2 linked regions of the Rattus norvegicus genome follow. The protein of the gene in region 2 binds, or shares a complex with, the protein of the main gene of each other region. Links are inferred from orthologs where the notes say so. Each region holds a gene or a part of one and is shown on either strand. Other genes may lie near its edges.

Region 1 (4,447 bases), about 36 Mb from region 2:
CCTGTCCTGGAGATCTCAGCACTAGGAATGAGAGGAGTCTTGGCAATTTCCTATGGAGGCAGATGCCCAGGCAGAAAGGGCTGAGGCTAAGCAGAGCAGGAGAACCTTCTGCCACCCTCCCTAGCACATGGGCTCCCAAATATGCTGCAGAGTCAGGGGCTCCAGGAGATCTAGACTTCAAGCTGGGCAGGGTTTGGTGTGGAGTTATCCAAGCTCCCTGTAACACCTCTCTTTCTGTCACTGGGCAACCAGAAGCTAGGGCTAGCTCCTTAGCTCAGGCCTTCTGTATCCAAGGCTGAAAACAGTCCTTCCCAGTAAGGGGGGCCCTGAATTGCTTCCCCCAACTCAGACAAGACAGCTTTGTTCTGGGGGCATTTGGCTCCGAAGCCCGGTGTTCAGCTTAGGGCCTACAAACTGCACCCTGAAGTCTCCATCCCCAACAATCCGCTCAGCTCTCTGCTTTGCTGTTTCGCTCCTTTAGCAAGAATAAAACTGTCAGTTGGTTGGCTTCCCCGACTCCATCCCAAATCAGCCTTTCCCCTGGTCCACCATCCTCTCCATCCACAACTCCTCTTCCCGCTGGCCGGCTGTAACTCCCCTACCTTCGACTAGGCAGAACTCCAGAGGCTGGAAGCAGAGTCCTGGTCCTGGAGATTACTTTCAGGACTTCTCAGAAAAAAAGTGTTCGGCCAGGGGAGACTGGACCCCCCCTTCCTCCCCCCTCTTCGTTGGTCCCTCCTACGTCCTCTAGAGCCCTCCCACATTCCGCTTTCTCCCTCCATTCGGGCCAGGCCAGTTCCCTCCTCTAGATCTTCCCCTCCCCTGTGGAGCTGGCTGCAGCCACGCCACCCCCTCCCACTCCTCCGGGCTCAATGAAGCTTTCTTTTCCCGCAGGTTGGGAGGCCAGGCAGCGGCGTTCAGGATGCTGGACTTGCAAATGGTTTCGGGACAGCAGGATGGCCCCTGTGGCCGCAGGAAGCTTTTCAGCCCGTAGCCGTTTCTCCACATCTCCAGCTAGACAGAGTATCAACAGACCAGTCCAATTCCAGAGCTGGACCATGGGAACAAGGTCCCACAAAGAAAACTAATGTCCTGAGGGCCCTCTTGGTCATTATGGCGACCCCAAAGTCCCTGCAGGTGATGTCACGGCCTTCACTCTGATGTCACGTTAAATATATGTCGTCACTCCCAGCTTCCACCCCCAGGCACTAGGGCCTTTAGTTGGTGACCGCGACTTCCCTGAGTAGTGCCACTGTGCGTGCGGTGAGATAAAGGCTCCCCTTGGGTTCTTCCTGACGGCTCGTTTTCCTTCGACCCCTCCGTCCCCGCCCCCCCTCCCCGCATCACCGCCGCAGGGGCCCGGGAGGGGCGGACACGCCTCCGGCACCCTGCAGCCCCGCCCAGCCCCGCCCCCAGGGCCAGGAAGCGCGGAAGGAATCGCCTTGGCCATGGACGGGGCTTTGATGGAGGGTCCGCTTTTTCTGCAGAGTCAGCGCTTCGGGACCAAGGTAGTTTGTTTGTGTCGTGGGGGGATGGCAAAACTCCCCTGGACTAGAAATGGGTGAAAGAATCCAGAAAGAGGGAATGGGCCGGAAGAAGGTCGGAACGGCGCGCGAGCAATCGTAGAGCCCCTAAGACGTTCGTTCCCTTGAAAGTCTCGGGCTGTGCCCTCCTTGGTGCGGATTTGGGATGGCATTATCTTTGGGAAAGTAGCCCAGCCTGGGAATCCCCAGACTCAGATCGGCCTGCGTGGGTCTCTTCTCCCTTGTAGGGCGCATGCTGCCGCTCACTCTCGAGTCTTTCGTTCTTTCCCAGAGGTGGAAGAAAACTTGGGCTGTGCTTTACCCAGCCAGCCCTCACGGCGTGGCGCGGCTGGAATTCTTTGATCACAAGGGGTCGAGCTCTGGAGGGGGTCGAGGCGGCTCTCGCCGTCTAGACTGCAAGATGATACGCCTGGCTGAATGTGTGAGCGTGGTGCCTGTGACTGTGGAGAGTCCCCCTGAGCCCGGCGCCTCTGCCTTCCGCCTGGACACCGCACAACGCTCGCACCTGCTTGCAGCGGACGCCGCATCCAGCACTGCCTGGGTGCAGATTTTATGCAGAACCGCTTTTCCGGTGAGTGTCTGGGGGTGGTCACCCCTGGGCCTAAGGGGCACTGCGAGGATGAAACTACTATAACGGCATTGGACTTCTTGCACCTACCCTAGACCCAAGAGAATTATGTATATGGTCCTCGATGTTCTCTTTTCTGCAGAAAGGCGGCTGGGCTTTGGCTCAGACGGAGAACCCACCTAAGTTTTCTGCCCTGGAGATGCTGGAGAATTCGCTGTACAGCCCCACCTGGGAAGGTATTAGTCTGGCAGAAATGGAGTGGGGTGAAGAGGTGCCCTTGGGGAGATAGTGATTGGAGTCTACCAAGTCCCCAACCTGCCCCGGCGCTCCTTCTCTTCCTGTGTTCTTCCAGGATCCCAATTCTGGGTAACCTCGCAGAAGACCGAGGCTTCTGAACGCTGCGGCTTGCAAGGCTCCTACGTACTGAGGGTAGAAGCTGAGAAGCTGACCCTTCTGACTTTGGGTGCACAGAGTCAAATCCTGGAGCCGCTCCTTTTCTGGCCCTACACTCTGTTGCGACGCTATGGCCGAGACAAGGTGCATGGGGCTGTCTGGGAGGATGACCATCGGGGAGGGCTACTGGGTTGGGTAGCTGTAGGTGACAACTCCATTCCCAGGTAGTCTCTTCTGTGCAGATATACTAAATTGGTCAGACCTGTGACTCATTTCTTTAGACACTCCTAACCTGTTTCCCTCCACACCCTCAGGTAATGTTCTCCTTTGAAGCGGGTCGCCGCTGCCCCTCTGGCCCTGGGACCTTCACCTTCCAGACTGCCCAGGGAAATGACATCTTTCAGGCAGTTGAGGCTGCTATCCAGCAGCAGAAAGCCCAAGGAAAGGTGGGACAGGGACAAGATATCACCAGAACTGACTCCCATGATGGGGAGACAGAGGGGAAGATGGCTCCCACTCCTGTTCCCCAGGAACCCCTGGGCAGCCCTCCAGCCCTATATGCAGAGCCTTTAGACTCCCTGCGAATTCCTCCAGGCCCTTCTCAGGACTCTTTGTATTCAGACCCCCTGGGCAGCACCCCTGCTGGGGCAGGGGAAGGGGTGCAGCGGAAGAAACCTCTCTATTGGGATTTGTATGGGCACGTGCAGCAGCAGTTGCTGAAAACCAAGCTGATAGACTCCAAAGAGGACCCCATCTATGATGAGCCTGAGGGCCTGGCCCCTGCCCCTCTCCGGGGCCTTTATGATCTGCCTCAGGAGCCTAAGGATGCATGGTGGTGCCAGGCTCGGCTGAAGGAAGAGGGCTATGAGCTCCCTTACAACCCCGCCACCGACGACTACGCTGTGCCACCCCCTCGGAGCTCAAAGCCTACCCCTGCCCCCAAGCCACAGGGCTTGATCCTTCCTGAATCTGGTACCACAGCTGGCAGTGGCAGCAAAGGCTCAGATACAGCTCTGTACAGCCAGGTCCAGAAAAGTGGGACCCCAGGGAGATGGGACTGTGGACTCTCTAGAGTAGGGAATGACAGGGTGGGGGTCAAGTCAGAGGGTTCCACCTGAGACAGTTGCTGATAGGAGGTCCATGGGGTGGTGGCACTGAAGATCAGAGAAACCTGAGGGTGGGAGGGGCCGGGGGACCAGAGGAGTCAAGTGATGACCAGTCCCCGGAAGTTGTGGGAGTAGAAGAAACAAGGCTGCTGGACTGACTAGGCCTGTGGGAGAGGTCCACTGGTCAGAGTGAGGACACTTTGGGGAGGCCAGTATGGATCCTCACTCTTGTTCTTTGCCAGATACGTTTTAATTTATAAGGCAAATCTCATTAAAGGTGGCTTGATTGAAAAGGTCTCTGCGCATGAATAGACACTGGGGCAGGCATGCGCTGGGAGGGTGGGGAGGGGTCAAGGGAGGAAGCAGAAATATGTTGGGGACCGTGGAAGGATGAAGGGCCCCAGGGAGGGAAGCCTACAGTGTGGTGATTCACAGCCTGGGTGGTCATAGCCTCTCCTGGGCCGGTCTCTGACTCATTGACCCTGTTGTCTGTTACCTGCCATTCTTAACTCTCCTCTGCTGCCCTTACACCAAGTGTGAGAATTTGGCTGTGCTACAGAAAGGCAGCTGGCACGAGATAAGACACACTTCCCCAGCTCTTAGTGTAATCTAAAGCATAGAAGGCACTTTACCAATGGCAGCCATTTTTCTGTAGTTCGAGGGAGCTATAGAAGGTAGGCAGGCGTGGGGAGAGCAGACTAGGAAGGGAGTGGGGTTCTTTCACACCACCCACTCTCCTCTGCTAGGCTACACAGCAGCAGCCCGCCCCCTCTGCATACACATTAGCATGCTTACACCACAGGTCCCGAGTGCTCAGGGCACTCAGGAGTGCTTGG
Region 2 (3,802 bases):
ATGTGAGTGGCGTCAGGGAGATGGTAAAGGTAGGTTCGGGAGCTGGCAGGGGGTGGGATGGGGCTGGGGAGGAGGATGGGGGAGGAGAGCTGGGTAGGGGCCATCCTGGCTGCCGTCAGGAGTGAGTTCGTACAAGGTCTGCTAGTCCCTCATTTAGCTTCCCTGATCCCTGTCTTCTAAGCCTGTCCCTCCTGTGGAACCAGTGCCAGCAGAGGAGGCAGGGCTTGTGCCACCTCAATTAGATTCACTCTGGGGACCACTATACCAGAGCTGGGACCGACAGGGGACAGAGTGGTTCTTCCAGAAAGTCCCAGCCAGAAAGTGTTTCTGCCTCACTACAGGTTCACCTCCCGCTTTAAGGTGCTTGTGGCCAATATAGCTTTGACAGATCCTTGCCTTTAAGTGGCTTCCTTAGAGGAAGGCTATCTGCAGTCCTAGAATGCCCGGCACTTCAGCCCTTGGGGGACCCCTTGTCATTCCTTGCTGGTGTCTGAGGTGTATGTGGCGTTACTCAACTTGTCCCTTCATCTCGCTGTCCCTAGAGAGGCAAGGTTGGACCATGACAAAGGCAGACCATGGAGGGATATGCCCATGCAGGGTGACAGCCTGTTTTGTACTCCATCACAGGGATCACCAGGAACTTCTCCACCTGTTCTCCTAGCACCAGGACCTGTCCTGATGGCCACTGTGATGCTCTGGAGAGCCGGGATATCAACATTTGCCCCCAGGACTGTCTCCGTAAGCCCAGGCTAGGCCCAGGGTGATGCATTTTACCAGTGTGCAGGGAAGGGTCAAGGCAAGGGAGCTGGCAGCGGAGAGCTTGGAAGCCCTAACCTACACCTGAACCCAGGCTGGAGCCTCAAGTGTCTATAGGATGCTTCAGGCCAGCTGGGGGTATTGCACGAGCTTAGCATATGTAGGGCCATGGCTTCACCTTAGCACCAAAGAAGAACAGTGTGTAATAGTAGTAGGTTCAACCAAGCAGGATGTGCCAAGCCAGTCCTGCTACCATCTCATTTGAATGCTGGCTGTGCTCCCCCAGGACGGGGCTTGTGCAGCCTGGCCTGTCTATCCTTGACTGACTCATGAAGCTGCAGTCCCCGGCCTGCTGGCTCAGGACCCACGTTGTCTCTGGTCCATTTCCTCCATCTTTACTGTTACTGGGGGCTAGCTGTGGTTGATGCCTTCCGGGACCTCAGCAGTGATTCTAAACAATCTTGGCTCCCCCCTACTTCCATAGCCAGTATAGGGGTATTGTGTTAAACTCTGCCCAGGTGAAAGGGGCTTCCGAGCCTACTGCCTTCACTGGGCCTAAGCGACTGACCCCGAGTTGGGAAGGCTAATCACAGTCCGAGGACTCTGAGGCATCAGGCCACACCAGGAGACTGAATATTCCACATATGTCCTCAGGTGGCCCCATTGTTGGCGGGCATGAGCGAGGGGAGCGCCAGGGGATTAAAGCCGGCTATGGCATCTGCAACTGTTTCCCTGATGAGAAGAAGTGCTTCTGCGAGCCAGAGGACAGCCAGGGTAAGGAGCACCTCTCACAGGGCTCTCTGACTTCCTCAAACCCTCAAGGAAGCTCTGAGCAACATTTGTGTGGTTCAGCAAGGGAAGAGACTATGGGGAGGCAGTTAGACCCCAGGAGGCTGCTCCTTCCCTTTGGGCCCATTTTACCATTGGCACCACCATGAATCGGGGTCAGAATCCCTATAAAGCATATCCTAGCCACAATTCTCAATAAAGGATGCTCAGGAAAGCAGTCCTTCCAAGTAACTTGGTCAGATTTCCCGGACAGGGTCTTGCTTAGCCTCTGGTATTATGGAAGTGTCCTGGAATTTGGCTCACTCTAGGACCTCCCTGTCCAAAGCCTGTGATCCTTTCTTTCTTTGTCCTACCTTTCTATACTGACTATTCAGACATTTGCAACAGGAAAACAGGATAGCTGGTGTTGAGTGCAGTCTTCACACCACTGTTTGTACTGTGAGAGGTTTGACAGTAGGAGAATTGGTACAGCGGTGCCTGTACCCAGTCAGTAGCATCTCAGACGGTCACAGTGCAGTCCCTGTCACTCTGCCCTGCCACAGGCCCATTGTGCGATGAGCTGTGCCGTACGGTCATCACAGCCGCTGTCCTCTTCTCCTTCATAATCTCTGTCCTGCTGTCCACCTTCTGCATCCACCGCTACCACAAGCATGCGCACAAGCCACCCATCGCGTCAGCCGAAATGACCTTCTGCCGGCCGGCCCAGGGCTTCCCAATCAGCTATTCTTCCTCGGGCACCCGCCGGCCCTCACTGGACTCCATGGAGAACCAGGTCTCTGTGGACTCTTTCAAGATCCCGGTAAGGGGCCCCAAGAGGTAGGTGGACAGTGTTGGAGGAAACATGGCCACAGAGGCTTTCTTTACTACTTGGGGTGCCCACAGATGGTTGATATAGCCTTACGTAGATCCCCGTCGCATAAGGGCAAGAGCAGGGGGTTGCTTGCCTTCCAGGGCTGTGAAGGCAGACTGTCTAGGAAGGAAGTGACAGGTGCTGATTCAGATAGGACTGGCTGGGGTCTGAGATGTGGGCCTTGAGGTCCTGGTGAAAGTGAGCGTGGTCCTACCTAGCAGGGGAGGTGTGAGCAGAAGCCCCGAGAGAGAGGACCAGTAATTTCTACCCACACACAGGCATGCATACACTCATGCCCACCCAGCAAGTGTTTTATGTCAAGAGTAGGAACAGTGGAAGAGGCCCATGTTCTATAGCCCTACAATAGGCTTACCCATTGAGAAGAGGGGTGGGATGGGGATGGGGCAGAGTGTGTGGGGATCATAAAGAAGTGCTGACCCAGAGGTCCAGGGTAGCAGGAGTATATAGGGTAGATACCCCAACATGGAAGGGGGAGGCACTGGGCGCCCAGAAGAAAGCCCCAGCCACTCTTGAGATGGACAAACCTTTCCGTGGGTGCTGCTCAAGACCGGACTACCACTGAGGCCTCCCTATCATGGTCATGTCTTCTCTGTGGTTGCCATGTATGTGTCTGCCCTCACATTCGGGAAGACCCTGCCCCTTCAGCACCCTGGTTATCTGTTCGGGATTTGGAAGCCAGGGTGCTCTGGGAACAGCTAGGACAGTGTTATGGAGACAAGCGCTATGAATAGAGAAAGCCACAGGTTTGGGTGGAGGGACTGTGATGCAGACACCTGTGGGAGCACCCAGTGGCCATGGACCCCTGGCAGTTTGAAGTGGCTATGAAGTGGCCTTAGGTGGCTAGGGGGCCCTACCTTTCCCAGGCCTACGTGAATGACACCCAGCCCTCACACAGGGCTGGAGAAGTTCTTCCTACATGTGCTCTTTGCCTCTCTTGATCCTAGTGTGTGGTTCCTCCTCTGGCTGTAGCTGGATCTGCAGCAGGCTTCTAGACTAAGCCACCAGAGCTCTCTGTAACCCAGATAGCACCGGGAGGCTGCATAGCAAGGCCATATCATGTAAACAAGGGCAGAGGCACACACACGCTCCACACGTCTGCTCCAGAGTTAGCCTGGTGCCCAAAAGCTATACCCACAGAAGCCCCATGACTCAACCATTCAGCCTGATTTCCCTAATGTAAAACATGGAGAGTTGGTACTGTGACTCATTCCTCTAATTCCAGCACTCGGGGGGAAAAAAGGGAAGAAGATCACGAATTCAAGGCTAGACTAGGCTGACACAAGCAAACAAAACAGTAAAGATACTGATTTCTCTCAAATCTTTAAAGGAGCAAATTCATACCATTTCCACGTGCTTAGCATAGTCTCTGGTATGTGCCTTGGACAT

Evidence for each region.
Region 1: the proteins of Ret (region 2) and Dok1 are in contact, whole or in part, in a crystal structure (PDB 1UEF), measured with the Mus musculus proteins. The link is inferred for Rattus norvegicus from reciprocal best matches to the Homo sapiens genes RET and DOK1. Residues at the interface, in NP_033076.2 of Mus musculus: Thr1056, Trp1057, Ile1058, Glu1059, Asn1060, Leu1062, Tyr1063; in NP_034200.4 of Mus musculus: Tyr203, Thr204, Leu205, Leu206, Arg207, Arg208, Tyr209, Gly210, Arg211, Asp212, Ser217, Phe218, Glu219, Gly221, Arg222, Arg223, Thr230, Phe242, Glu246, Ile249, Gln252.

The regions. Positions count from the first base shown.
Region 1 is NC_086022.1:117,094,628-117,099,074, reverse strand, and holds Dok1 (docking protein 1), read left to right. Parts: upstream 1-1,440; 5' UTR 1,441-1,448; coding exon 1,449-1,508; intron 1,509-1,527; exon of another isoform or gene 1,528-1,676; intron 1,677-1,771; exon of another isoform or gene 1,772-1,776; coding exon of another isoform or gene 1,777-1,815; coding exon 1,816-2,115; intron 2,116-2,254; coding exon 2,255-2,348; intron 2,349-2,464; coding exon 2,465-2,649; intron 2,650-2,819; coding exon 2,820-3,623; 3' UTR 3,624-3,904; downstream 3,905-4,447. UniProt on the Homo sapiens protein: DOK proteins are enzymatically inert adaptor or scaffolding proteins. They provide a docking platform for the assembly of multimolecular signaling complexes. DOK1 appears to be a negative regulator of the insulin signaling pathway.
Region 2 is NC_086022.1:153,016,322-153,020,123, reverse strand, and holds part of Ret (proto-oncogene tyrosine-protein kinase receptor Ret isoform a precursor), read left to right. Parts: coding exon 1-29; intron 30-627; coding exon 628-738; intron 739-1,410; coding exon 1,411-1,530; intron 1,531-2,087; coding exon 2,088-2,344; intron 2,345-3,802. UniProt on the Homo sapiens protein: Receptor tyrosine-protein kinase involved in numerous cellular mechanisms including cell proliferation, neuronal navigation, cell migration, and cell differentiation in response to glia cell line-derived growth family factors (GDNF, NRTN, ARTN, PSPN and GDF15).